Neodiprion lecontei: one gene and its partners. The protein of the gene in region 1 interacts with the protein of each later gene in a pairwise test. Links are inferred from orthologs where the notes say so. Each region holds a gene or a part of one and is shown in the gene's direction. Other genes may lie near its edges.

Region 1 (6,867 bases):
CAATTACTCTGCAGGAATGGTAAAGTGAGTCTAAAAAATGAGAACGTATCGAATTTTTTTTTCATTCAAATCTGGTATAATTGATGATTGTAGCCTTAATCGCTTTTGGCAGTAGCAATACTTACAACTCTTTATAGGGAATTGTTCATAAATTTGCGAATCAAGAGTGAATGAAATTTTTGAATTTTCAGACAAATTTTTACGCACGGTAACAGGACTTAATCTACTAGCAAATTCCAATCAAGATGTTTGGAAATCAATTTCGCCTGTACACAGGCAACCGTCGCTACTATTATTTAAGTCAAAGTTTTATCCAGAATTTCCTCAATATATACCCGTTAATTATGCAGATACATTGATCCGTGTGTCAAAGATTTAATGCGTCCAGAGGCAGGATGTAAAAAAAGAGATGCCACTGCATAGGTATAAGATATTCTGGTAAATACGTGAAAAGCCAAACTCACCGAAGCTGGATCCTTGGATACGGTAAAACGTACATGCAGCAAAGTGGAACGGCTCAAGGTAGATTCAACCTCAGCCTCCAGGCTCCAGATTTTCCCGTACAGAAACAACCGGGAAGCACGAAGATGGAAATTTCTGGAAATACGTATACACTTAGGGGGAGATGTGGGCAAAATGGGTATTAGCGAGAAAAATGGGTCCTTGTACAATCAAATGGGATTTCAAAAATATCGACAACGTTTAAAATATTATTTTAGGCCGAAGACAAGAAAATTGCGTCGTCGAAATTGGTCTAACGTTATTCCTTTCTTAAGGGGCCTATTTGTCGAGCCTCTTCCCTACATATTACTAATTGGACCATGTTTTACAACTCAATATATAGCCTATATTACTCGGGCAGACCTAAGAAACAATTTGGTTCAAGCCCCATGTAAACCGGTTCACTGATTCTTGACTGTATCGGTAACAAAGTGATAAATAGACAAAGGATTTTCTACATTTTAGTATAGATACACCGCATAACCGCCGGATATATGGGTATTTCAGGTACATATAGCAGTGATTTTGTATAAACAAGCGACGGGGTAAGAATGTGAAATTGATGCGAACATAACAAATAGAGCTCGAGTTCAATCATACCTGAATAACGCACTGCCACCCACTAAGCAGGCACTTCCTATTCTCCCACAGATTTGATCCACCATCCTCGAGCCAGCGGGTAAAACTATTTCGAATAATTGATGCTGCAAGATGCTCGATTACGTGACGATTCGCTTTAATTCTTCTCCCTGAAACGCGAACAGCATCGTTCGATGATAATAATATACGCAGTTCAGTCGAGTGTTATTACTGCGCGTTCGAATGTTTGTTTTTGTTTTCAGCTCACTTCGCTCAATTCTTATGGGCTGGCAAAAACTCATATGCCTCTTAATTAGATAAACAGCTACTCATATATATGTCTTTTAGAGAAGTTTTATACACACTTACTCAGTTATTCCATTTATGCGAGCACGTTGAGTCTCCCGTGTCATTTTGTTGCTTGGATTGCTTTTTCGCAGCCGAATTGAAAAGATGAAAGCCTCTCTGACGATCCCTGATACCCGAAAGACCGAAAATTCTAGCATCAAACAATTGAGCATCGGAATCATTATACCACGATTGATCGAGAGATTAACGAGCTTCTTCCGCGACGAATAAACCAGACTGTTATTGACACTTGAATAGAAACACCCTCGTGCACGGTAGTATTTAATCAAAAACATCTCACGACCTGACGAGATATACATTCATATTCGACGGCGCCGTTTCCTTGCGGCAAATGTAGTTCGAGTAATCGTAAATAATTCGAGGTGACACCGTTTGTTGGCTTCAACTGTGGCGCTACCGTGCGGCGGAAATCGAAACTTTTAAACGAAGGAGTGTGAAGCGAGCCAACGACGCTTGTTTCTGATTAGTTGAATTTCAAACGGTCAAACTCAAAACTAGGCGGTTGTATCTTGTATAGTGTAAGAGTTCGGAGATCGTCAACAACGCGTGCGAGCTATGTCAATCGGTATTTACAACGATATATTAAAACTGGTGCGTTTTACAGCGGTTAAGTGAATTTGGTGGACGCAGGGTGAGTTTTTACCATTATTTTCTCGTCTTGTGTCTCGGACCAACGATGCCTAAAACTACAGACTCACAGCCGGCAGCGAGTCCGATTCAGTCAGTTTTTAACATCCTTCGTTTTCTCCTTTTTTAGATCAAATTGGTACTTGGCCACTGCAATTTGGTAGCCTCACGCTGTCGAAATGACAACTTCACTGTCGATATTGGCCTCTCACGATGAGCTGGTACGTTGTACCAATGTACTCGTCAACGGATCGTGCGAAGAAGGTTAGCTCACTTGATCGACGCCTCGTTTACCCAAAGAAATTACCCCCCACGATCATACATTCGGAATAAATTTTTACGTCACTTTATTCTGAGACGAACATTCTTTTCTCACTAACAGAGAGCCACGAATAATTCATCAGCGGAGTCTGTGCTCTAGTTACTCTTGCAGCAACATCTGATATCTTCAGAGATAGCTGCTTCCCGTATACCCTTATCTCTCATTCAGCCCTTCATTCTTTTAACCCAGTCGAAGTTTAGAAAGTTTCAACTGTGCTCAGAATCTAAGAGAAAGTCTATGCTTGTATGAGAAAGGTATCGATCTTTCAATGTTTCAGAATTTCTGCGCTTTGCTATCAACCAGGAAGAGATGCGACAAAAATGGTTGGCATCTGTACAGGAATGCCAGCGACTTCATTCTGCTTTGGAAAAATCTCATTTAGAGTCGGCAGATCTAGAAAGAAAATTAAGTCATGCTCGTCGACTTCTTGACGAGGAAAAACGACGACGACGTATCGTTGAAGATCAACGTAACTCGTTGGTAATAATAAATTCAACAACTAGTTGTGAACAAAATACCTGAACATGTATAAGTATCTATTAAATGATGAAAATTCGATATAATTGCCAAATATTCTATTTACACAGGAACGACAAATATCCATGGTTCGTGACTTGTTCCTACACGATGGAGGTAGAAACCTGAATGATGAAACACGTGAAAAGTTGCAATTTCTCAATAATACAACATTAAATAATCGCAGCAGCAACGTTCATCTAAAAGACTTGCATCACGCTGATAAGTAAGAGTCTAAATTGCATCGTTAGGAAAGTCAGAAGACTTTCAAAAGTCTCTGTCTTAATTTTAACCCATCGTTACTTTTTTTTCTAGGCTTAATACAATAGCAGAATTGGATTCTACCGGGTCTCTGCTTAGCGATCTGAGTTGTTTTTCAAAATCGGAGGACGACTTGGACGCGAGTGTCATGCTCCAGCAAAATCAAAAGAAACGGGAATGGAAAGAGCACAGACCAAGCGGGGAATATTCAACCAAGAAAAGGCGCAGCAGCATTCAGAAAGCTGTAGACTTGAATACATCAGATCGGATAGTAGCGACAACTACTGTTGTTCTGCCCAAGGATGGACCCATCACGGCGTCTTCTGTGATTGAAGCAAAGCCTGGGAATGAAAATGAAGATCCAAATACTCAAATAAAACAGAGCCCCCACAAATATCGCACAAGTGCTGACCGCTCCAGACAAAAAAGTTCACACATGGATGCAAAAAATCCATTGATGGACGTGGAGGTGGGTCCTTTTTTCTTAATTTTAGGAGTTGAATGAAATAGGATGGTGAAAGTAGAAAGTGGATTCAGCAAACACTTCTAGTCATTGAATAAAATCCGTGTATATATGTTTGCATACAGCCTTCAGCTCCAAAAGCCGACATCATGACTTCCGGTTCAGATTCCGAAGGTGTATTTAAGCCCAGCCCTAATATCGGTGGATATACTTTGAACATTAAATCGTCCAGGGGTCACACTTTCACGGCAAAGACTGTTATCAAGCCAGAAGTATGCACTCCTTGTGGCAAACGGTGAGGGAACGATGTTTTGTGGTACAATTTTTGATTATCTATTACGAAGTGTGGTCGGCAATTTGATTCAACTACAACTTTATCATTGCAGTATTCGATTCGGACGCGTAGCTTTGAAATGCAGAGAGTGCAGAGCTACTTCTCACGCCGAATGTAAAGACCTAGTACCATTACCGTGCGTACCTGCAGGAAATACTCCGACTTTGCGTGGTATTTCTGTAAGTTGTGAACAACATTTAGTTTTTCAATTCAAAAAAAATATGAAATCCATTCAAGGTGAGCAATTTTTGCTTTCCTAGGGTACAATTGCAGATTATACCCCCATGATACCACCCATGGTGCCGTCGCTGGTGGTACACTGCATAAATGAGGTCGAACTGAGGGGAATGGGCGAACAAGGTTTATACAGGGTGAATGGCGGTTCGAGCGACGTTAAATGCTTGAAGGACAAATTTTTGAAAGGAAAGGGTGCACCCAACCTTTCCGACATTGATATACCGACTATTTGTTCAACTTTGAAAGATTTCTTGAGGTACATTTGTCGGATTATGAAAAAGATTAAACCACAACAAATAACTTTATCAATTCCTTGAGCAATGCAGGGTATTTTACTCACAATTTTTCTTTCATCTTAATTCAGAACTCTTCGCGAACCTTTGATCACAGTTGGACTATGGGCAGATTTTGCAAGAGCGACGGCCATTTCTGATAAACAGGATGCTGATGCTGCTCTTTACCAAGCGATATCGGAATTACCGCAACCGAATCGCGATACATTAGCATTCTTGATTCTCCATTTGCAGCGAGTGTCGAGCAGTCCAGAATGCAAAATGCCGATCACTAATCTTGCCAAAGTATTCGGACCAACTCTTGTCGGTTATAGCTGCCAGGAACCATCTCCAAACTCAATGCTAAGTGAAACTAAAAGCCAAGTTGCAGTAAGTATCTTTCATTGGATTCAAAATATCCTCAGAATATTTTAGAGTAATAATACTTGCGTTCTTTTGCAGATAGTGGAAAGTCTGTTGAAGATTCCGTCAGATTATTGGGCAAATTTTGTCAACTCCGAAGGTCTAAACGGAGTGGGAACACCGAAAACTGGGGAACTTAGACACACTCCGTCTACAGAGTCACTTTTAAAACGAACAGCATCTAGGGGATTTTTCAATACTCCTATCAGTTCAAGGTATTCTACAATCAATATATAAAAAATATTCAACTACTGATCGTTACATTCACAGATTAAATACTATAAATCCATAATTTATTTCCAGCCGAACGTTCATGAGAAAAAACAAAAAATACTTTGCGACACCACCATCAAAAAGCGGGTACTAAAACGGTGAATGGCTTTACAATTCTTTTTTTCATCCTCTTTTTATAAATTACAGGTGTAATAGTTAGCCTAGAATAACCGTATATTTAAATTTTTTTCCAGCAGAATTTTACTCACATAACAGGTACTTTTTAATTTGATAATATTTTTCAATTCTGCATCCATTCATCTGAAGCTTCTTTGATCTTTTGCTTTGTAGCTAGTAAATCTTACGAATACTTAGAATTAAAATATCAAATAATGACATATTTTGTCAAAGCTATAAGCTAAATGAAATGCCTTCTTTGAGCTGCATGCGGCTCGTTTTTGGCATAATTAAAATTGGATAATTACTTTTGATAATATGAGCTTACATATCGGCGCTAGTTTCTCATGAGGACTAAAATCCGTTTCATAGTGTTGGAATGATAATTATTTTTCAATTACAAATTTAATCAGTGTACAATTTAGCTCTATTTTTTTTCTGTTCAACTTTACGCATAAGTATTATAACACAAGTGATCAGATCACTATTGATGACAGCGTGTAAATTAAAAATCCACTAATCACAATGTAATTTTTTTTCTCCATACAAATTATCTGGACCTGTCGAAAGAAATACTTATTTATTTTTCAATACAAAATGTCTAATAAAATGGATAACTTTGTAGTTAATATTAATATTAATTAATGTATTACTTTAGACGTTACAAATAAAAGATTTAAACCTGACTTTCTTATATTGTTAATATTATTCTTAATATTCTGTAAATTTCACTTTTGTACAGTAACGGCAAGAATAGGAATTTCAGGCTGTATAGGCCCACTTAAAACTACCACGATTAATCCAACTTTTTTTCATATGTATTTCTTAGTTGCTCATTGAATCATTTTAAACTGAGCAAACCAGCACTCGTATAGTATTTTGAAATGTACAATAAATTCCCGAAAACAGATAGCGAGGCCATTGAATTTCAGAACACTGGGATGTGCTTAATTACTCGGTTCGGGAACACGTTTTCTCTTTGAGTTCCCAGCATGACTCCCAGTACTGTCTTAATCTGTTGTCCGCATTCGAACAAAAGTTTCTAAAATCTTGAATAATTTTTTTTTGAAACAACTCATCCCCGGTCGCTGATGTTGATAACGATTTCCACTTGCGACTGACCATATGATTCCATGACCACAAAAAGCCAACCTGAATAAAAAAATACGAACAGTTGATATCAATTCATATAGAAAATATTTACATTAAGTATATATACCGACCCTCCTGTCCATACTGTAGTCATCTTTATTCTTCCCACTGACATGCCTTGTAATATATGCTTCGTGCGGACTAGATTGATCAGGATGGACTGGATATCGTTTCTGGCCCGTTATCCGTCTGATTATATTCGTATCCGTTCGTGGTCTGGCTCGAATACAAGATGTCGACGGTACGAGAATAAATGCATTGCCAGTAACGTGGACGTATTGATGATCATTTTCAGTGCCCTCCACCAGACACGGTACAAAACCGAACCTTTGCACTATGGCTTCTTGGAAGAGGAACAACCGTTGAGTGTAGGTGTCTTCCCGAAACTCTGTTGCAAACACATTGAAAGTGAAACATCAGA
Region 2 (4,948 bases), on another chromosome or scaffold:
AACAAAGATATGTCAAAATGTTAGCTGAGATCAGGATTCAACGATTTGGCAGCAATCAATGTAATACGCATAATTATATCTTCCAAGAGCTTGAATTAAATAACGCCACGATTCTCTCAGCTCTTTGAAGTCTACTTAAGGAGTAGGATCTGATAAGGCTCTTTTTCGCGCATTACAACATGTAAAATATACTGACTGCCGTGGTGATACAGCACAAATCATAATGCTATAACCTATATTTAATGCATATAGCGCACATTAAAATTTCTTAGACTGAAGCCATGATTTTGGAATATCTTTGGCCAATTTACAAAATAGAGAAATACCAAATTCAAATCAGATGTGTAATATGTAAAGGAAATCGATCGACTGAGATTATAAACCATATAGAGAGATATAATGTACTAACAATTTGATATTATTTAAATTAAATATTTACCTGGATCTAATCTTGATATCCGAAACATCTGTATATTTACTTATTTAGTCGTTGTCTAGTCATGCCATTATTATTATTATTATGAAACCGTGTGTAGTATAATATAATAAATATCTAATTTAAGTACATAACAAGCATTTGAATACGTACATAGTTCTATATGCATAGAAATAAAAATCAATACAATGTTTTGAAATAATCATGTTACAGCTAATAAATAGTATATGAAGTGTTGAAATTTGAATTGTAATAATATTAATCATGATAGAATATTATAACAGTTCTATAATAATCGTTTGGCTATGCAACAGCAGAGTGCTGGAATTTTTCGTTCGATATTTCAATTCAGACAAGATTATAATAAAATAATCTTAATGTCAATCACTTGACAACAGTTACTATCAGTATATTTATACTTCATCTGACAAAATTTTTAACTGATTCGATCGCAATATAAAGGAAATCATTATGTATATGATTAATGAGTAGCCAAATCAGGGTCTCAATTATTTTATTTCAGTGATCTTTATTAAACTCGTGAGACAAATTATCAGTATATGGTTGATATAATGTATCCAATAAAGGCGCTCGTGAGCAATTGCACAGCCACCAGCCCAATGAATAATAGTATTGCAACATAATCCATCTTAATATTTGGATTTGCAGTTTCGAAATTTGGTTCGCTAGGATGAATTCTTAGGGTATTCGGCCGAAAAGTCCGTATGATGTTCTCTTCCATTCTAGTTTTTTACCTGTATATATATGATAATCATTATGGTATATTACTTTCACAGAACTGGGTGCATGAGTTGTCAAACGTCGTTTAAAATTCTCATTATAATGTTCACCAAATTCAATCTTGAGTAGCTTCTTTTACAATATAAACTATCGATTGACGCTCAGATACAGGCTTCAATATTTATATGTATATTTATTATTACGAGGTTATTTGAAGAAATTCCATAACACAAAAACATTTGCAGGTATCCCAGCAACAACTTTATGGGGTTGAATACATTTCTTTGACCAATGGTGCTGCATTTGGTTGTCAAGCGTTGACTGAAACTAAATTTTTACGAATTATCTTAGAATGGAAATTTCTCCGAGTTTCTTAGTTTTCCTAAGAACCCTCGACTGTATACAGTACAGAATTTTTCTCAGAAATGTTAGAAAACTATCTATCAAATTTATCAACAAAATTATGAGAAATATCTGAAAACTTTTCCCCAAAGGAAGAACGCGGATGAGGGGATTCGGACCTCGTACTAAATTTTGTGAACAATTTACCACCTTTGCGGATTGATTAACCAGTTACAAAAAAATTCGAATGACCAACGTTCAAATCCGGTGCGCACGCGTAGAGATATAATCTGTAATACGTATAACGGTTAGGCATTTATTCCAACAACTCGACCAATGAAAGCCCGTTAATTTAAACTTTCGAACGTTCTTCCCCCACTATAGGGCCTTCGTTCGTCGGGTGGCTGGGCTCTATACAGGATGCGAATGAACGAGCAGTCAGTATTGAGTCGGTATTCAGTACCCAAATGAACGGCAAGATCACGTTTAACTTCGGAAAATATATCGTCGCAACAAATTGCACGGGCCGGTACATTGGAAGACAAACTCGTATCTCGTTTGAAAAAGGATAATAAATAACCGATGAAGTTCTTTCCACAACTGTGAAGTTCGACAAGTTTATGATCAGAATCGAAGGAGATATTGACGTTTTGAATTTCATCGGTGATCCCACTTCAGTGAGCGTAGTAACGCGTAAAATGGCGGTTGCATTTGAATGCAACGGTTGTTGACAGTTTGAAGAGTTCGGTTGAAGGGCGCGGCGTGCGTTGATATTATTGCACTTATTTCCCGAGATAAATAAGTATATTCGCGTCGCTCTGAGCTCTTCGTAGGACGGAAAACGTCGGGTCACGATTTCAAGCGTGCGTGCTGAAATTTTCTAAATTTCTGCCCAAAATTAAACAATGGATCCCTTCACTCAGGTAAGCGACGCTATGCGGAATTATACCTGATCCGAGGCATTATTTGTCTGGAATTGAATAGGATTGTAAGATACAAACACGTGTTGACCGTTGTGATCCTAAAGAAAATTTATGAACCAGGTAGCCTGGTCCCAACAATTTCACGATTGAAAAACTCTTACTATCTTGACAGTTTAGAAAGACTTCGAAGAAGTTGGGTTTGCAAAATCTGAGTCTGCATAGTTTTGTCACGTCTTATTGAATTTCAGACCATACTAATTTTGTGAAATAACTATTTCACATGAATATGCATCGTTAGGATAACGTTATGAACTTTAAACTCATATGGACTGTTGCATTTCTCTGTGGTTTAATCTTATTCAGCAATACTAACACAAAGCGAAATTAGTCTTGATCGAATTGAGTTGAATCAAGTGTAAATATAAAGCAATTAACCCTTAACATAGATCGAGATTTTAGGTTATTGTTGCATTCTGCGGACACCAATTCGTCTAATTTTAATAAAGCTTACTTTGTCTAGACAGTAATCAAAGGCTCTCGAATTTGTTTGACACATTTTTCACACTTCTCGGTTAAAAACAAAGATATGGTGCTATTAAAATTGTTGTCCACGACTGGGCTTTTCTCGATTTTTTCTGCTCCTCTGTGTTCAGATAATATTGTTTTAGTTAAATTAAACCTTATCAACCTCAACTACTAGGTCTGAGACCCCTTTTCATTATTTTAGCTGCTCAAAACTTTCCTGGCCAGATTTTGTACTTGCTAATTAGGGAAAATAATCCCTTATGTTTCTTCTGCATGTATGAAAAGTCTAAATAGAAGTGAGAAAAGTACAGAATTATACCTCTTACTGTTTTATTATGCTAATCTACTACCATCATCGTGTGAATTATGATATCCGAGTTTTTTGGCTTACTTTAGCGAATGTTGGAGCGTGCGAAAGCAAGGAGGGAAAAATTAGACACGCAATTGTCAAATGCTGGTCATGATCCCAAAAAGAGGCGCAGTCCACTGAAGGATGCTAATGCCATTTTGGCACAGGCTCCAGGTACGTTAATTCATTTGTGTCTCTCATGTTCAATTTGCATTATTTGATGTTGTATTGTGCCTTTTAGTACTGGAACACAATGTGGCAGCTAAACCAGTGGTTAAAGATTCTCCCGTTAAGCAATCGCCGATTAAATCACCGAGAAAATTTTCTCCTACTAAAATTCCTATCACAACTCAAGAAGGCAAAGTATCCAACAAAGAGAATGGAGAGACTCAAATATCCGGTGTCAGATCCAAACTACAAAGGCTGGGCAAGCTATACTCTGGTAAGTTGTTGCTTGGTTGGTGCTGTCACACCTACACACATTGATATCATAAACTGGTTCCTGCATACAATATAGATATGGTACTACTATGGCAGATGCCATAGCATCTATCTGTAATAAGTACCGATCACAATATCTCATACCTTTTAATTATCACTATATTCCCAAGTGAGAGAATTATTGGAAAGTTCTCAGAATTTTTTAAATGAATTTTTCAGAAATATATCTAGTTTTTGGACTGTCCTAAGCAAAATTCTGTAGTACTTCTGGAATAGTTTGAATTATTCTATCAGTCTAAGGGATTTGAAGAAATTCCACAGAGTTTTTAAAGATCTGATAAACTTGAGATTTTTGTCTTCTAGACTGTCTCTGTCCAAGTGAAGTTAGAGGTGAAAATTGTACCAATTTCTATGAGAAACTCAAGTTTTTTTGAAACTCCATTTTGCATTACAAATCTGAAAAAATCGGATTTCTGGTGTTCCTGTATATTTTTTGAGCATACTTCGGTATGGAATTTCATAGGAAACAGTTGCATATGAATGTTTCTGAAATGCCATTGAAAAATCTGGATATATCTAAAACAATAATTTTAGTCAAACTAGAAGTGTGAAAATTTTTGACAGTAATTTTTAATAAATATCGAAGTTTTTCGATAAACCTGTTGAAATTAATTTTCTGCACAGAAATTGAGATACTTCGGAACAACTCCTAGGAATTTATGCGAATTTGTCTGAAATATTTTAAGCGAAATAGAAAATCTTTTAGAAATATGCATTCTGAGTAAATTTTTAGAAATTACTGAAAATTTCTGAAAATATCTTTTGCCTGCGAAACAAAAGTAATGATTTGTGACTTAAGTTTTATGACTTGAAGTGAACAGAAAAATCAGATCTAAGTCAATGAGATATCCTAATAACAATAATAAAATCTGACAACCATCAAAACTTGGATGTAAAAAATGTTTTCCTGTTCGAGAAATTTCAGGACAGAATATCGTAAACTTTCAATCTTTTTATTACCTATTCTTTTCAGTAGTTAAGATTCATTTGGAGTTTTGATTTATATTAGAAAATATTGAACAGTGTTTTAGTATAGCTTTGAGGATTGCAAATGTGATGTATCGAATTACTTGAACATATATTTCTTCAGAGGATTGCAGCCGTGAGTTGAGTTCGCCAATTCACAGAACA
Region 3 (8,031 bases), on another chromosome or scaffold:
TTTACTTATAGAAATCGTGTTCCGACTCGTCCTTTTTGATGTTATTTTTATACCCTTTTTCAAAATCCTTTGCTAACACGATGTAGCGGTTTTCGCGAACTGCGTGCATCCCTGCCTCTTGGCATATCGCGTTTATATCAGCACCCGAAATTCTATCCGGTCGGGCTACGTAATCTTCTAAATCAACTTCTTCGCTTAAATTCATCTTTGTTGTTATCGTCGAAAATACAAGTCGCTTTTGACGCCGATCCGGCAAGGGAAATTCAATTTTTCGATCCAATCGGCCAGGTCGCAGAAGTGCAGGGTCAAGGGTATCAGCCCTGAAAATTTCACGAAAAAAATAACATTACCAGAATGACTATTACAAGAATAATTTTACGGAAACACCGAAGAAATTTACCTGTTAGTTGCCATAATGACCTTCACGTTAGTAGTCTGATCAAATCCGTCCATCTGATTCAAGAGCTCTAGAAGAATACGCTGAACCTCGCGATCAGCGCCAGTCTGAGCATCAAATCGCTTAGTTGCGATAGCATCAATTTCATCAACGAAAATTATCGCTGGTGAATTTTCCTTAGCTAGACGAAATACGTCTCGTACCATCCTCGGTCCTTCCCCAAGGTATTTCTGAACAAATTCAGAGCCGACGACGCGTATAAACGCAGCTGATTGACAGTTACAAGAAAAAAAATTCATGAGATATAATTGTGAGCTTGGTATCCATTAGCCGTGATAAGAAAATGGCTAAGTAATATTACCGGTAGTATGTCTAGCAACGGCTTTGGCAAGCATGGTTTTTCCACAGCCTGGTGGACCATACATTAGCACTCCCCTTGGCGGGTCAATTCCAATTTGTTTGTACAGCTCAAAGTGAGTCAGAGGCAGCTCTACAGCTTCCCTGATCTCCTGTTTCTGCATATCCATTCCTCCTATGTCACTGTACTGGATGTCTGGCTTCTCATCTGTATCAAAGAAATATTGATTTGTCAGTACATTTCACTTCATCATCATAATAGTCAAACAGTAGGTGCAACGAGTCAACCACACTTGAAATTTGCTGAACTGCGTTCAATGAAACATTTAGAAAAACTGTTAGGATTTGTAAAATATTTAAAAAATAATTGGACAAATTTGTATTTACCAGGTTGTAGCATAGATATGCTGGAGTCAGCCTCAGGAGGAAGAACATCAACAAGAGCATTACTATGTTTGTGGAGAGCTACACTCGCCGAAGGTTTCAATAGCTCACGGTCTATGGTCGAAAGTATGCGAACATAATAGTTGGAGCCGGTCGTTGATCCAACAATGCCAGTATTTTGATCTACAGCCTCTAAGAACTGGCCGATTACTAACGGAACACTCTGTATACGTTTCACCTCTTCCTGGGCATGTAAATACTCCTTTTTCAAATTACGTTGTTCATCTTTTATATACTCTTCCTGGACCTCAAGAAATTCTAGCATACGCTGTAATTTCTACAAAACAAGTTAATAATTCTACTTTAATTTCTATCCTTGAAGTAAGTAGCAAACAGATTCGATTTCTTCTAAAATGTAAAGTTATTCACCTTGTACTTAGTGTAGAGGTCCTCTACATCCAGCTCATCACCCGCTCCGGAATAATGACCAATGGGTGGTTTTGAATCAACCTCTCCGACGTCCTGAAACAATTATAATGTTGTTGTTCAGTCTCGTTATTCAGTAAGTATAATTCGCACAATATTTGATGCTAACTTTAAGGATATTTTCAGGAAAACAAGTTTAGAGGCAGCTGCAAACGAAACATTCAATGAGGTTATGGCAGTTTCCACATATTTCGGTTTTACGGCATTTTGAGCAGGATTTCAAAGAATAATTTTAATGCAAAACCTCAAATTCTCTATGAAATCCGTTACCTTGTCGGGCAAAACGATCCCAATTTCTTCCATTCTATCAAAACGGCTGCTTCTTGACAATTCGTGTCACTTCTTATCACAAAGGGGCCGATGACTGTGATCTTTCAGGCGTGACTCCATGGAATGGAGAATTATCTGTATCTCTGTGTTCACATATGCAGCGTACTCGTCTCGTTACAGCGCTACCTGGTGAGGACACCGTTGAATGAAAATTTTGCACGCGATGGTTGTTATATAGAACTTCTTACCCCCAGAACCGGCCAAACCACTCCAACCATACTCCAACTGTTACGAAACATAACCCATGGCTGAGAGTCTTAGCGGTGATTGGAGGACAGGTTAATGCACGTGATATACGCGTAGATTGTTTGAAGTTTGAATGGCGGTTTGCGTAACGAGTTTTTAGGCGTGCGTACCTGGAGTGCATCGAAAGTTTAATAACCGTTGTTTTCTGACTATTATAAGTGGATATAATTGAACCGAGAGTGATATTTCAGGCGGATACCACTATGAAGTCCTTGTAAGTCTGTTTTATCATATCCAGAATCGTCAAAGTTTAAAAAACGCCTGACATAGGTTATTTTGACAGATCTTATTCATGGCATTATCGAATGATCCGTATCTCCAGCCCTAATTAATTGATATTTAGACTTTATATAAATAAATATGATAACGCCTAACATACTATAAACTTTCATTTATCACATAAATCATTCAAATATTTCAGTCGCCCTAAGCCTCCAACCTCCGCAAGGAAACCTACAACTAGGCCAAGAGCTTACAACTTGACAAGTCGAGACCCGGTTCAGGTGTATTGTCGAATAAGGCCGATGCAATATGAGTCGGACACGTCTTGCATGAAGGTGATATCTCCCACAACTATAGTGATAACATCGCCAGAGTCAGCTGCCAATTTCAGGAACGGAAATTACAAGGAAATTCAAACTACGTTCAATCAAGTATTCGTCCCAGATGTTGGGCAGCGAGAAGTATTTAATACAGTGGCTCTTCCACTTATTGAAAATCTTGTAAAAGGCAAAAACAGCCTATTATTCACCTATGGAGTCACTGGCAGTGGAAAGACTTACACAATGACTGGGGAACCCCAGAACGGGGGAATAATGCCACGCTCTCTGGATGTCATATTCAATAGCATCGCCAACTTTCAGGCCAAGAAGTTTGTCTTCAAACCCGACAAGCTCAATGGCTTTGATGTACAGAGCGAAACAGACGCTATGCTCGATCGGCAGAACGAGCTACATGCTGGCTTTATGACTCCTCGTCCTGGAAAATTGAGTCGCAAGTAAGAATGATTGATTTCTAAAAATTGTTATTCTAGTGTTTTTGAATGTTTAATATCATAGATTTTTCACCATTGTTTTAGTCGAAAAGGTGACAGCGATAGTGACAGTAATCCAATGATTATAAGGGAAGCGGATGAATCACAAGTTTTGCCAGTTGAACATGATAATGTTTATGCCGTTTTTGTCACTTATGTTGAAATATATAACAACAGTGTTTATGATCTGCTTGATGACGAGGATGTTAGGGTCAAGTAAGCACTTGCTGTTCATACACACAGTCAAAAACGTTTCTTAAACACTTTAACAAAAGATGAATTTCAAATTCAAAATCGCATGGGTACCTTGTACATTTTAAGAATCGCTTAAAATTTAAGAAGGTTGTGCCAACTATTATTTTTGTTCATAATTAGATCTCTGCAGAGTAAAATCGTACGAGAAGATGGAAACAAAAATATGTATGTTCATGCAGTTACTGAGGTTGAAGTAAAAAGTGCTGAAGAAGCATTTGAGGTATTTCAACGTGGTCAACGCCGACGCCGGGTTGCTCACACAGCTCTAAACGCAGAATCTAGTAGATCACACAGTGTCTTCACAATTAGACTAGTACAGGTAATCATCGGGTTCATTCATTATTCCTGAATTATTCTAATAGCTCAATCTTTTACCCAGGCACCGCTAGACTGTCAAGGTGAACAAGTAATACAAGATAAAAGAGTGATCTGTATTAGTCAACTTTCCCTGGTTGATCTTGCCGGAAGTGAGCGAACAAACCGAACTAAAAATACAGGTCAAAGACTGAGAGAAGCAGGTAAGTTGTCTTTAACTATTGATAGTATTAAGAATGAATTTTCAAATTTTTTAAATTCGTCAGCTGATGTTTGCCAACTTCTTACACATTTAGGAAACATAAATAATTCGCTGATGACACTTCGTTCATGCCTGGAAATATTGAGAGAAAATCAAACTCAAGGAACAAATAAAATGGTTCCTTACAGAGATTCTAAGCTCACACACCTATTCAAAAATTATTTCGATGGTGAAGGACAAGTCCGAATGATAGTCTGTGTCAATCCCAGAGCAGATGACTACGATGAGACAATCGTACGTTTGTTGAAACATATATCCAATATGTACCTCCAATTTCTCATGTTCCATTCCTTGGTCACTTAAATATTTTCATGTTTTCTTCTGATGCATGGGACAGCAAGTAATGAAGTTTGCGGAAATGACCCAAGAGGTACAAGTCACCCGACCGACAGCCACGAAATTGGACCTTGGTTTTACACCTGGGCGGAGACAAGCCAACAAGGTAAATTGCACAGATTGCATATAAATAATATTGGTGGTTATGAAATCACATGTGAGAATGATGATGGCGTTTCAAACAAATTCTCAGATATTCAAAGAAGCTAAAAGTAGATTGGAGAAAGAGAGGCGACTTGATACTGGAGATCTGGAAGTTGATCTAGGACTAGTATACAGGTATTATAATTCACCAATTCATATCGCTCTCCAGAGATGCCCATCTATTTACTTGATAATTTTTTAATCGTCCATACTCCGTCACTTCAGCTTGGGAGGTCCGTTCCCAGAATTGGAAATAAATAGTCCACTCAACGATCAGATAATCACTACTCTCATGCAATTCTTGGAGCAGCGCATCAACAAAAGAAATATCTTACGATCAGATCTGGAACAAAAACGTAAGTTTGGTCTTGCCACCATGTTTACTGTTACATACATATTAATTTTTGTCATCGCATTTCAGAAACGGACTTCAGAAAAATGCTACTAACACTGGAGCAGGAAAATATGACTCTAAAAGTTGAAAATGCATCTGCAAAAGCATTTAATAACCAGGAGAAAAAGAAGGTAATCTCTTCGTACAGTTCAGTCCGTGTTTTACCTCAAGTAGAGTATATCTTCAATTAAACTTGTTCTCTTGGTAGGTTTCAGCTTTAGAAGGTCATATTTGTAAAACAGAGGCACAGATAGATAGCTTACTCCGTAAATTGAACAGTGCCAATGATACAATAAGAACGTTGCAACAAGAGGTGAGTTGAACTTTGAGTTTCTAATGGATTTTGTACTACACGATTTTCAAATTCTACTTATTTCACCATACATGAATATTTGTTCTACTTTTAGTTAAAAGATAGAGACATGGTGCTAAATCAACGAGTAATAGATAAGCAAAGAGTAAAGCAAAAATACAACAGCAAAATTCAGGCAGAAACTGAGAAAATGTCGCGAGAATTGGATATAAAACTGCGACAACAGCGGCAACATTTACAGGTATATGAGTTCACGTGTCCATGTACAGTTGTCAAGGAGAAATTTATTCATATTTTGATCCTGTATTTTTCCAGAACCAAATGAAAGAAAAAGAAGACAAACTGCGCCTTGTAAAGCAAATTTTGGTAGATGAAACAAGTGGCACTTCACTGGGAATTCCTGTTAAAGATACTGTAGCTGTACCCCAGACTCTTAGTGACGCTGGTGAAGCTGCAACGCCAAGATCTGGAAATACTCATGTATCTCGAAAGGTATGGCATAAAAAAATATAGAGAGAATAAATCGAAGAACACATTTCACATATAGTCTACCATTTTCTCACAGGATAAAGTGCCAGTGGCAAATCTTAGACACAGACGATCACAGAGTGCCGACAGATGGGTTGACCACAGACCCGGAGCTTTAGTTCCTGTTGGCACTGTTCTTCAACCTTTGATGAATCGTCGTCGCAGCATTACTCGGCTCACTGATCCAAAAGCTATCACTGAAGGAGCATCCCGATATTGTCTAGTAGCCCAAGAACACGATACCGATGGAGAGCTGGAAACTAAACTATACAAGGTGAGTTCTGAATGTTAGAAATTAGTAGTAATAGTTCGATTTTCACTTCGTCGTAGTTCATTCCTAAATTCTTCAATGTATATTTTTGCAGGGTGACATTGTTCCAACGAGTGGTGGTGGCGCTCAAGTAGTATTCAACGACGTTGAATGTTTGAAGCAAATGTCTCCTACAGCGAGGAGAAAGCGTAGCGGAGCTCCAAATTCCCAAATTAATGGACACACAGATTCTTCTGAACATTGTTCTACGGCCGTAGAAGCTCACACAAAAAGGCCTCGAATGTAGAATGTCGTTATCTTGCCTCTCTCCTATCATCAATCGAGTAACATGTATGAAGACTGTTCTGTTAATTTAACTGAAAAATTATGACATTTCCGAAGTGACCTCGCATAACAAACATATCGCACTCCCAGACAATGTAATCGTTGACCTCTACTTATTTTAATTCTTTTTATAATCGTAACGTTGAAATTTAAGTTAGTAGTTTTTTTTTCTTCACTTAGTTTGTTATGTACTTCTTGAATCGTTATTTGCACACTTATGTTACTGGTATGAATCAGTAGTCTGTAGGAGAAAAAAGAAATAATATAGTTTTAATTTGCTATTAAATTTCATTATAATAGCACAAGAGAAAAAAATATTAACACGGAATTGAATTTTATTTTAGTTGTATTCGCATACTAATTATCGAGTTAGTAGGATCATTTCATTTTCCAATACGTTTATAATAATTTTATAGAGCTATGAAGAATTTAAGTTCAACATAATGAGAATGATACATTTTGATGAAAGTTTTGTGAGACATGGCAACAGAAGTGTGTTCATGATATATTCCACTGATGTAGTATTACATACAATAAATGCAACTTCAAACATTTTTTTGTAGAACGTTCCACTTCTTTAGTTTTAATTATGACTTGCACATCATACCAGAATGTTACTGTAAATTTAATACTAGTCATGAAGTTGAAGCAGTTTCATAGAACCACTGCACGAAACAGATAAAACCGTTTCAGATTAAGTTGATATATTTATGAGTTTTATTCTAGGACCTTTAGGAATATTATGATTTATCGATACAAGTAAATATTTTCGCGGACTCAAAATAAATAAATTAATCTCTGAGTATATTAAAAGTCTTACTTAGTTTTCTTCAATTTTTTTTCAGTCATTCAACGCACTAAATACGCCTTTGACATTCTTATTACCAATGTTCCGTCAAACTGTTTTGTAAGGTTCAACATTAACCAGTGACGCTCTAAAACTGTTTTTCATTGAATCTATGCATGAATTGAAAATGGCAATTACAATCCCTATTCCGCTAGTTGCATTGATTGAGCATTCTCTTTAAAAACCAGGGAAACATAGTAACTATATTTAACAACACGTTTTACGAGGTAATAAATAAATACTAATTCTTGATAAAAAATTTCTGTCATAAATTCGACTAATGAAGTGTACGGTGAATCGCTTCCGTATTTATGAGAAAAGCTAGTTGTCACATTCAATCAAAATAATAAAAAATGTTTTTTTCATAATATACATGGATTTTTGATGCAAGATTCTTATTGACAAGAATTTGAATAAATAGCTTTTTCATACACATATAAATTGATAAAACACAGTCTAAGTTTGATTCATTATATCCAGAAAATAGAACACCTGTAAAGAATAGTGGTGAAAAGCTTGAAGCCATGAATGACGTCATAACAATAAAACGTCAATTCACGTCCTTTCTGCCTGTTCTCAAGTGAAAATTTATAAATTCATGTATCAAGTATGGATTTTGTAAAAAGGCTGCACTTGGCTCTGTCTTTCCTTTTTCTTGCACCCGATACATTTCACAAATGCAAAGATAATATACATCTATCTACAAAAAATGAAATCAATTATCTTTTGTAAAATAATCATCAGTACTATGCTGTTTGCATCTCCTGCAATTTTTTACATGACGGTGTTTCAATGTTCTGCGCTCTCCG
Region 4 (5,129 bases), on another chromosome or scaffold:
CTGAAAGTTGTGTGGAAAACATCTCATATAATTGCCAATTGCCGTTATGACGCTGAAGCTAGCTGATGACATTCATACGAATTGCCACCAAAGTTAATTGCTCAACCCTTACGCTACGCACTGGGGTCATAATGACAGCATGTTCAATGTTCTGTAACACCCTTGGTTTACACATGTTCAATGAGTTATTTTTCTCCATATTACAAAATTTCATTTTGCTAGAAATAGCTAATTTTCCTTGAAATATAATAGTTAAAAAGTATCCCAGAATTTTTTGGAGCTATTTGAATCAATATCTTTGTTTCTGAACAGTTATTTTTTACGCGGGGTCTCCAGCGAGCCTGGTGTGACAATGTTATACGCAAGAGGTATGCAGTGTAAGGGTTAAGATGATGCCCTGATGGAATCGCAGTAGTAATTTCATGGAATTCATGCTATTTCTTTATTTTTCTATCAAATGAAAAAATACTGGAGTAGTTTTGTTCAGGATTTTGTTTAGAATGGGTCTGTAAAGTTTTTTTTTGGGGTTGAGCTACTTCGACTTTGATATTCAGAGATATATACGTCGACGTCAAAATCGACCAGGGCACCCCCTTAACACTGTACAATTTGACATGAAAGGTTTCTTTGGTGTTGCTACTAGTCACATATTAATTGCTGTCGATCTATCAATAGTCATATCCGGTATCATTTTGTTTCCTTAGACATTTTTTTGATATGCATTTTTCAAACTGTTTGTAGATGTGAACCTTTAGACCACCGCTGATTTTAATCCTAGATTGTATATACGGTCCTGTTAACCACTCCAGCTGTTTTTTTTTTCAGTACCGTTTGGTAGTTGATTGAATTCTTCACCAACTAAACTTCAACAAAATCGGATTTGCTCTTCACCATCCATTTCCTTATTAAAAAACGAAAAGATTTGTGCACTTACGAGTCCTATTATTGCTTTTAGAACGATCTTACAATCGAGAAACGCGTGGGGTTGATAGTGAACCTGCTCACGCGTTAGAGGGTAGAAAAAAAGATACATGTGCTCTAGGGTTCATGTATATTCAAATAAGCTGCATTTAGATTATTTAACTATAGCTTGGCCAATATACTGACCAAGCGGCGGCCCAAAGTTTACAAGATATGCGCTTGTAGACAATTATCATTAAATATATATACATGACACATAAACATGAAATTATCAGGCCGAATTGATTGATCAAAATTTGGAATAATTCGCATTATAAAGGATAGCATTTTGAATTATTCCTACAACTAATTGTGAAGAATTTGCCTAGGGTAGCAGACGGAATTACCCCAGAACATCTCTCCTATCAAAAGCATTCTAAAGTTCCGATTATTCTGAAAAATTCAAAGATTTGGAATTCCGATTATTCAAATTTTTTCAGATCGTTCACAAATTTGAATCTTTTGCAGTTTTGAATCTTCGAAGTGATAAAACTCAATCTCATATTGAATGTTTTATGACCGTTGTCAATGTTTTAATCTTTCTGAACGGGTTTTCCATCAAATATCAACGGGGTTTGCCATGTTTTTGGGGCAACTGTACATGCGTTGAATCCCGCGAATTTGCGACGACCTGCAACGTGTTGACGCCTTTTTTGTTTCAGCTGTTCCGTCGTCTCGACGATGACGACGATCATCGGGAGGAGCGATTTGTCGACGCGCGGTGGCGATTGCTAATGATAATCAACTAATAAACTGCTAGACAAAAACGAAAAAAAAATAGAAACCAACAGCTACAAACCAGCCGAGTGAATAATAAATATATCCAATAAAGACATTGAACAGACAATCGGCTAGTAAATCATAAATAGTAAAAATATTCTCTTCCTTCCTACTTTTTCTTTTTATATATCTTCTTCCTCTTCTCCCTGCCGCCTCTTTCCCGCCTCTGACAAATGGAACGAGGCATGCACCTCAACAATTGAATAGCGGCAGGAGGGGAGGACGCACCTGACGCAAAGGTTCGTCGTTGAAACGATTACGGCGAGAACTGGAATTAACGGAAATTAGGCTGTAACGGCGGTAAAAACGGGTGAACTACGAAGAGAGGGGGAAATTTGAATAAAATTGAAATCGATCAGGAATAAAAAGAAGAGAATAAACAATATAAAAAGAGGAGGAAGAAAGAGGGAGAAACAGAAGGCGCGAAGAAACAGGCGACGGACTTCTTATTTTCGGGCAGCCGTAAAAACGACTGCGAAATAAACGCCGTCGTACCTGACGTTGTGTTGTGCTGTTCTCTCTCTACACGTTGACGACCCCGCCACCTCGACGCGCGATTACTACTGCCAAAATGGAAGAGCAAAGCGTGCACAGCAGTACCAGTGATATAAATAGTGAAGAGGCGGCCGCCACCGAACGTAAGTTACTTGCACACTTTGTTGAAGACACACACGCGTGTCTCCCCCTTCGTCCCTTCTCCATAACTTTCCTGTAAACTAGGGAAAAATTCAGCAGATACTTGTGCCCATCCTTACCGACCGAGTCATTTTCTTTACTCTGCATTTTGGGCCATGTTCTTCGGAACTCGGGGAATGTCCTAGATTTTAGTAGACGTATTGAAAATAAAAAGTGAAATGATAACTTGGTAGTATTTTCATCTTCTATTAACGCCAGAAAAAAACATCACCTTTACATATGCTCAAAATAGATTTCATACAAGCTCAGCAATGGCTATGAGTGACATGTTTCTGAAAAAATCACAAATGTATCTTTCCCATCCTTCCTTTACCAAGAGTTATCTGTAAACATGTTAATACGTGTTTGAGGCTTTGATTCTCTTGTTTTTGAGCGATGCTTCTGTCCTTTACCAACCGAATGAGTTTTTTATTCTATGCATTTTTGGGCGATAGCGGCCATGTCTGCATCGCCATGTTTGGGATCAACTAATCAATGAAACGAATTTTGGATAATGCTCTTGAAACTATTCATGTGATTGGTTCATCTCACATTAGACTCTATCAAATCTGTGCAATGTAAACATGTCCAATGTACCCAAGAAAGAGTAAAATGATGTTTTGGCACTAATGTCATATTAATGCCAGAAAACACATTATCACATTTATAGGCTCAGACTAGATTTCACATAATCTCAGCCAACTTTAGACCAACATGTTTTCTGAACCATCCAGAAGAACGATGACGTAGTTCGTAAAGACAGAGCTGTTGCCTGTTCGTAACATGACGCTGGATTCCTACTTTACCAAAAAAGATTATTGACATTACAGATTTTCAAAATGACCCTCAAACACATTCATTAAATTCAACTTCTTTCTTGCAGTGAATTAGTCGTTAAGAGATGAAAGCCATCGCGTCGAAGTTTACAGGAGAATTGAGAAAAAATAATAGTCATCAGCATTAGTGGGTCTTGGAAATATCCTATAATCTCATATTCTGACCTTTAAAGTTAGAATCGATTTAGTTTAATTAATGAAAAACATATTCTAAAGAATTGAGCCCTTAGTAGGCCAGAAAAATTAATTTCAGGATTTTATGCATTAATTTAACCCGACATCCTGTGACAAAAATGATGATAAATAAATTACAATGTCATGTTTTTTTAACGGCAGTGAGAGCGAGATCGACAGACTTGCGAGCTTTGATCGTGCTGATGATAAGATAAAGTTATTAAGTACCATCCCAACCCATCCACTCTAATTTCAACCGAATCATTACGGACCTGGGAGCTGAAAATTTCCAACTAGTCTGGAAATATGATTGAAAGCCTTAGACTCATTTATTTAGTAATGGTACTTATTTAATGATTGCTCAATCAAATGCTAAATTTGATCAATTATTTATCCATGGGATTACAATTTTTTTTTGCCCAAGACTCAGCATAAATTGAGCAATGAAATTTTGTTATTGCTGTTAACTGTATACATTTAAATATTCCATTGTCGGGGCCGAAACTAAATTCGTAAGTTTTACTGTGCATTTAACGTCTGCTGTAAATATAATTTTCTTATTTTTCTTCCCTCTCGTTCACTCGCTGCTGTCTCTCTCCTTTGTGTCGTTTCTGCATAAACAAGAATTTTAATGGACGGATTGACGGAACCTTGATATATCGTTTTATTATTTTTAATCAAACAAAATTATTTGTATATTTATGTATCTATTTCCTAGACATTGATAACAGTCGTTAATATAACGTACGTTTTCCTCATTTATTGTGCTGTTCTAGTTTAATTATTATTATTATTATCGTTATTATTTATTAGCGAACATTTTACATCAGTTTTCAGAAAAAATAATTTTCCACTTCTCCTTATTTCAAAATCTAAAACGGACAAGAAAAATGTTCTTTCTGTATTTGTGCATTTAGTGGTCATTTTTATTGTCATTTACATTATCATTTTAAAAATATGTATCAAATTGCTGCGAGCCCCGGAAGCTGGTGCGTTTCAAACAACATTAGTTAAGTTAACGTCTCGTAGATATTATATATTCATGCTCATCTCTCTCGTTGTGCGACGTGATGGTAATAGTCTAAGAGCTAGTGAACTTTTTAGTTACGTCATTTCATAAACAAAATTTTCCATCTTGTCATACTCTCTTAACATAGCTAATAATTGATTCGGAAGTCTGCCTGGCCTCCAGTACTGGAGAACGCGGTGGGAGGGGTGCAAAGGGTTAAAAAAATCAATTGAAAAACGTCATTTCATAAGCGCTAATTTTTTGTGTGGTAGCAGAGAATGATATTTTGAGTTGAATAGTAAAAATGGCAGACACCTCGGTCGCTGGAAAAATGGCGGCAGACAACAATAAAGACACGCGAAAATGTATCTAACTTACGTCATACTATAAGGGTTGGAACAAAAATAAACTTTTACAGGAAGTCATCCAAATTTTATATACGAAAGGGCAGACAAATATCTTGACCCGAACACCGTGGCAGACAACGAAAAAGACCGGTAAATCCGCGCAGATTTGGAAGCGGGCGCTATAGTTATTTTCGATTACCAGAATGTTATTTCGTTATATTGTTATATAGCAGGGTGAGGATATGTATTTTTAAGTATTATTCATGATTATTATTGTTATTATTATTATTCGTTATTGTTTTATTGTTATTATAAATAATTGATTGTGAAAGTATAAATACATTTTTC

The links.
Region 2: the proteins of rac GTPase-activating protein 1 (region 1) and anillin interact in a two-hybrid assay, tested with the Drosophila melanogaster proteins (2 studies listed by BioGRID). The link is inferred for Neodiprion lecontei from reciprocal best matches to the Drosophila melanogaster genes tum and scra.
Region 3: the proteins of rac GTPase-activating protein 1 (region 1) and kinesin-like protein KIF23 interact in a two-hybrid assay, tested with the Drosophila melanogaster proteins (3 studies listed by BioGRID). The link is inferred for Neodiprion lecontei from reciprocal best matches to the Drosophila melanogaster genes tum and pav.
Region 4: the proteins of rac GTPase-activating protein 1 (region 1) and protein ECT2 interact in a two-hybrid assay, tested with the Drosophila melanogaster proteins (2 studies listed by BioGRID). The link is inferred for Neodiprion lecontei from reciprocal best matches to the Drosophila melanogaster genes tum and pbl.

The regions. Positions count from the first base shown.
Region 1 is NC_060263.1:5,501,904-5,508,770, forward strand, and holds rac GTPase-activating protein 1, read left to right. Parts: upstream 1-1,899; 5' UTR 1,900-2,080; intron 2,081-2,206; 5' UTR 2,207-2,255; coding exon 2,256-2,340; intron 2,341-2,675; coding exon 2,676-2,878; intron 2,879-2,985; coding exon 2,986-3,140; intron 3,141-3,229; coding exon 3,230-3,644; intron 3,645-3,763; coding exon 3,764-3,933; intron 3,934-4,024; coding exon 4,025-4,151; intron 4,152-4,232; coding exon 4,233-4,465; intron 4,466-4,573; coding exon 4,574-4,871; intron 4,872-4,943; coding exon 4,944-5,119; intron 5,120-5,207; coding exon 5,208-5,271; 3' UTR 5,272-5,275; exon of another isoform or gene 5,276-5,374; 3' UTR 5,375-6,211; downstream 6,212-6,867. Other genes in the region: GATOR complex protein Iml1, read right to left, coding at 6,246-6,446, 6,518-6,834.
Region 2 is NC_060261.1:15,614,830-15,619,777, reverse strand, and holds the start of anillin, read left to right. Parts: upstream 1-1,934; 5' UTR 1,935-2,424; coding exon 2,425-2,442; intron 2,443-3,363; coding exon 3,364-3,490; intron 3,491-3,557; coding exon 3,558-3,758; intron 3,759-4,907; coding exon 4,908-4,948. UniProt on the Drosophila melanogaster protein: Required for cytokinesis. Essential for the structural integrity of the cleavage furrow and for completion of cleavage furrow ingression and proper formation of the midbody.
Region 3 is NC_060260.1:1,077,498-1,085,528, forward strand, and holds kinesin-like protein KIF23, read left to right. Parts: upstream 1-1,982; 5' UTR 1,983-2,083; intron 2,084-2,148; 5' UTR 2,149-2,403; coding exon 2,404-2,414; intron 2,415-2,621; coding exon 2,622-3,197; intron 3,198-3,278; coding exon 3,279-3,449; intron 3,450-3,608; coding exon 3,609-3,807; intron 3,808-3,867; coding exon 3,868-4,006; intron 4,007-4,099; coding exon 4,100-4,299; intron 4,300-4,402; coding exon 4,403-4,507; intron 4,508-4,594; coding exon 4,595-4,680; intron 4,681-4,770; coding exon 4,771-4,901; intron 4,902-4,966; coding exon 4,967-5,070; intron 5,071-5,147; coding exon 5,148-5,252; intron 5,253-5,346; coding exon 5,347-5,493; intron 5,494-5,567; coding exon 5,568-5,744; intron 5,745-5,817; coding exon 5,818-6,054; intron 6,055-6,145; coding exon 6,146-6,337; 3' UTR 6,338-7,917; downstream 7,918-8,031. Other genes in the region: 26S proteasome regulatory subunit 6B, read right to left, coding at 2-320, 401-665, 759-962, 1,142-1,475, 1,568-1,660, 1,895-1,927; dnaJ homolog subfamily B member 12, read right to left, coding at 7,969-8,031.
Region 4 is NC_060264.1:21,477,733-21,482,861, reverse strand, and holds the start of protein ECT2, read left to right. Parts: upstream 1-2,004; 5' UTR 2,005-2,311; coding exon 2,312-2,378; intron 2,379-5,129.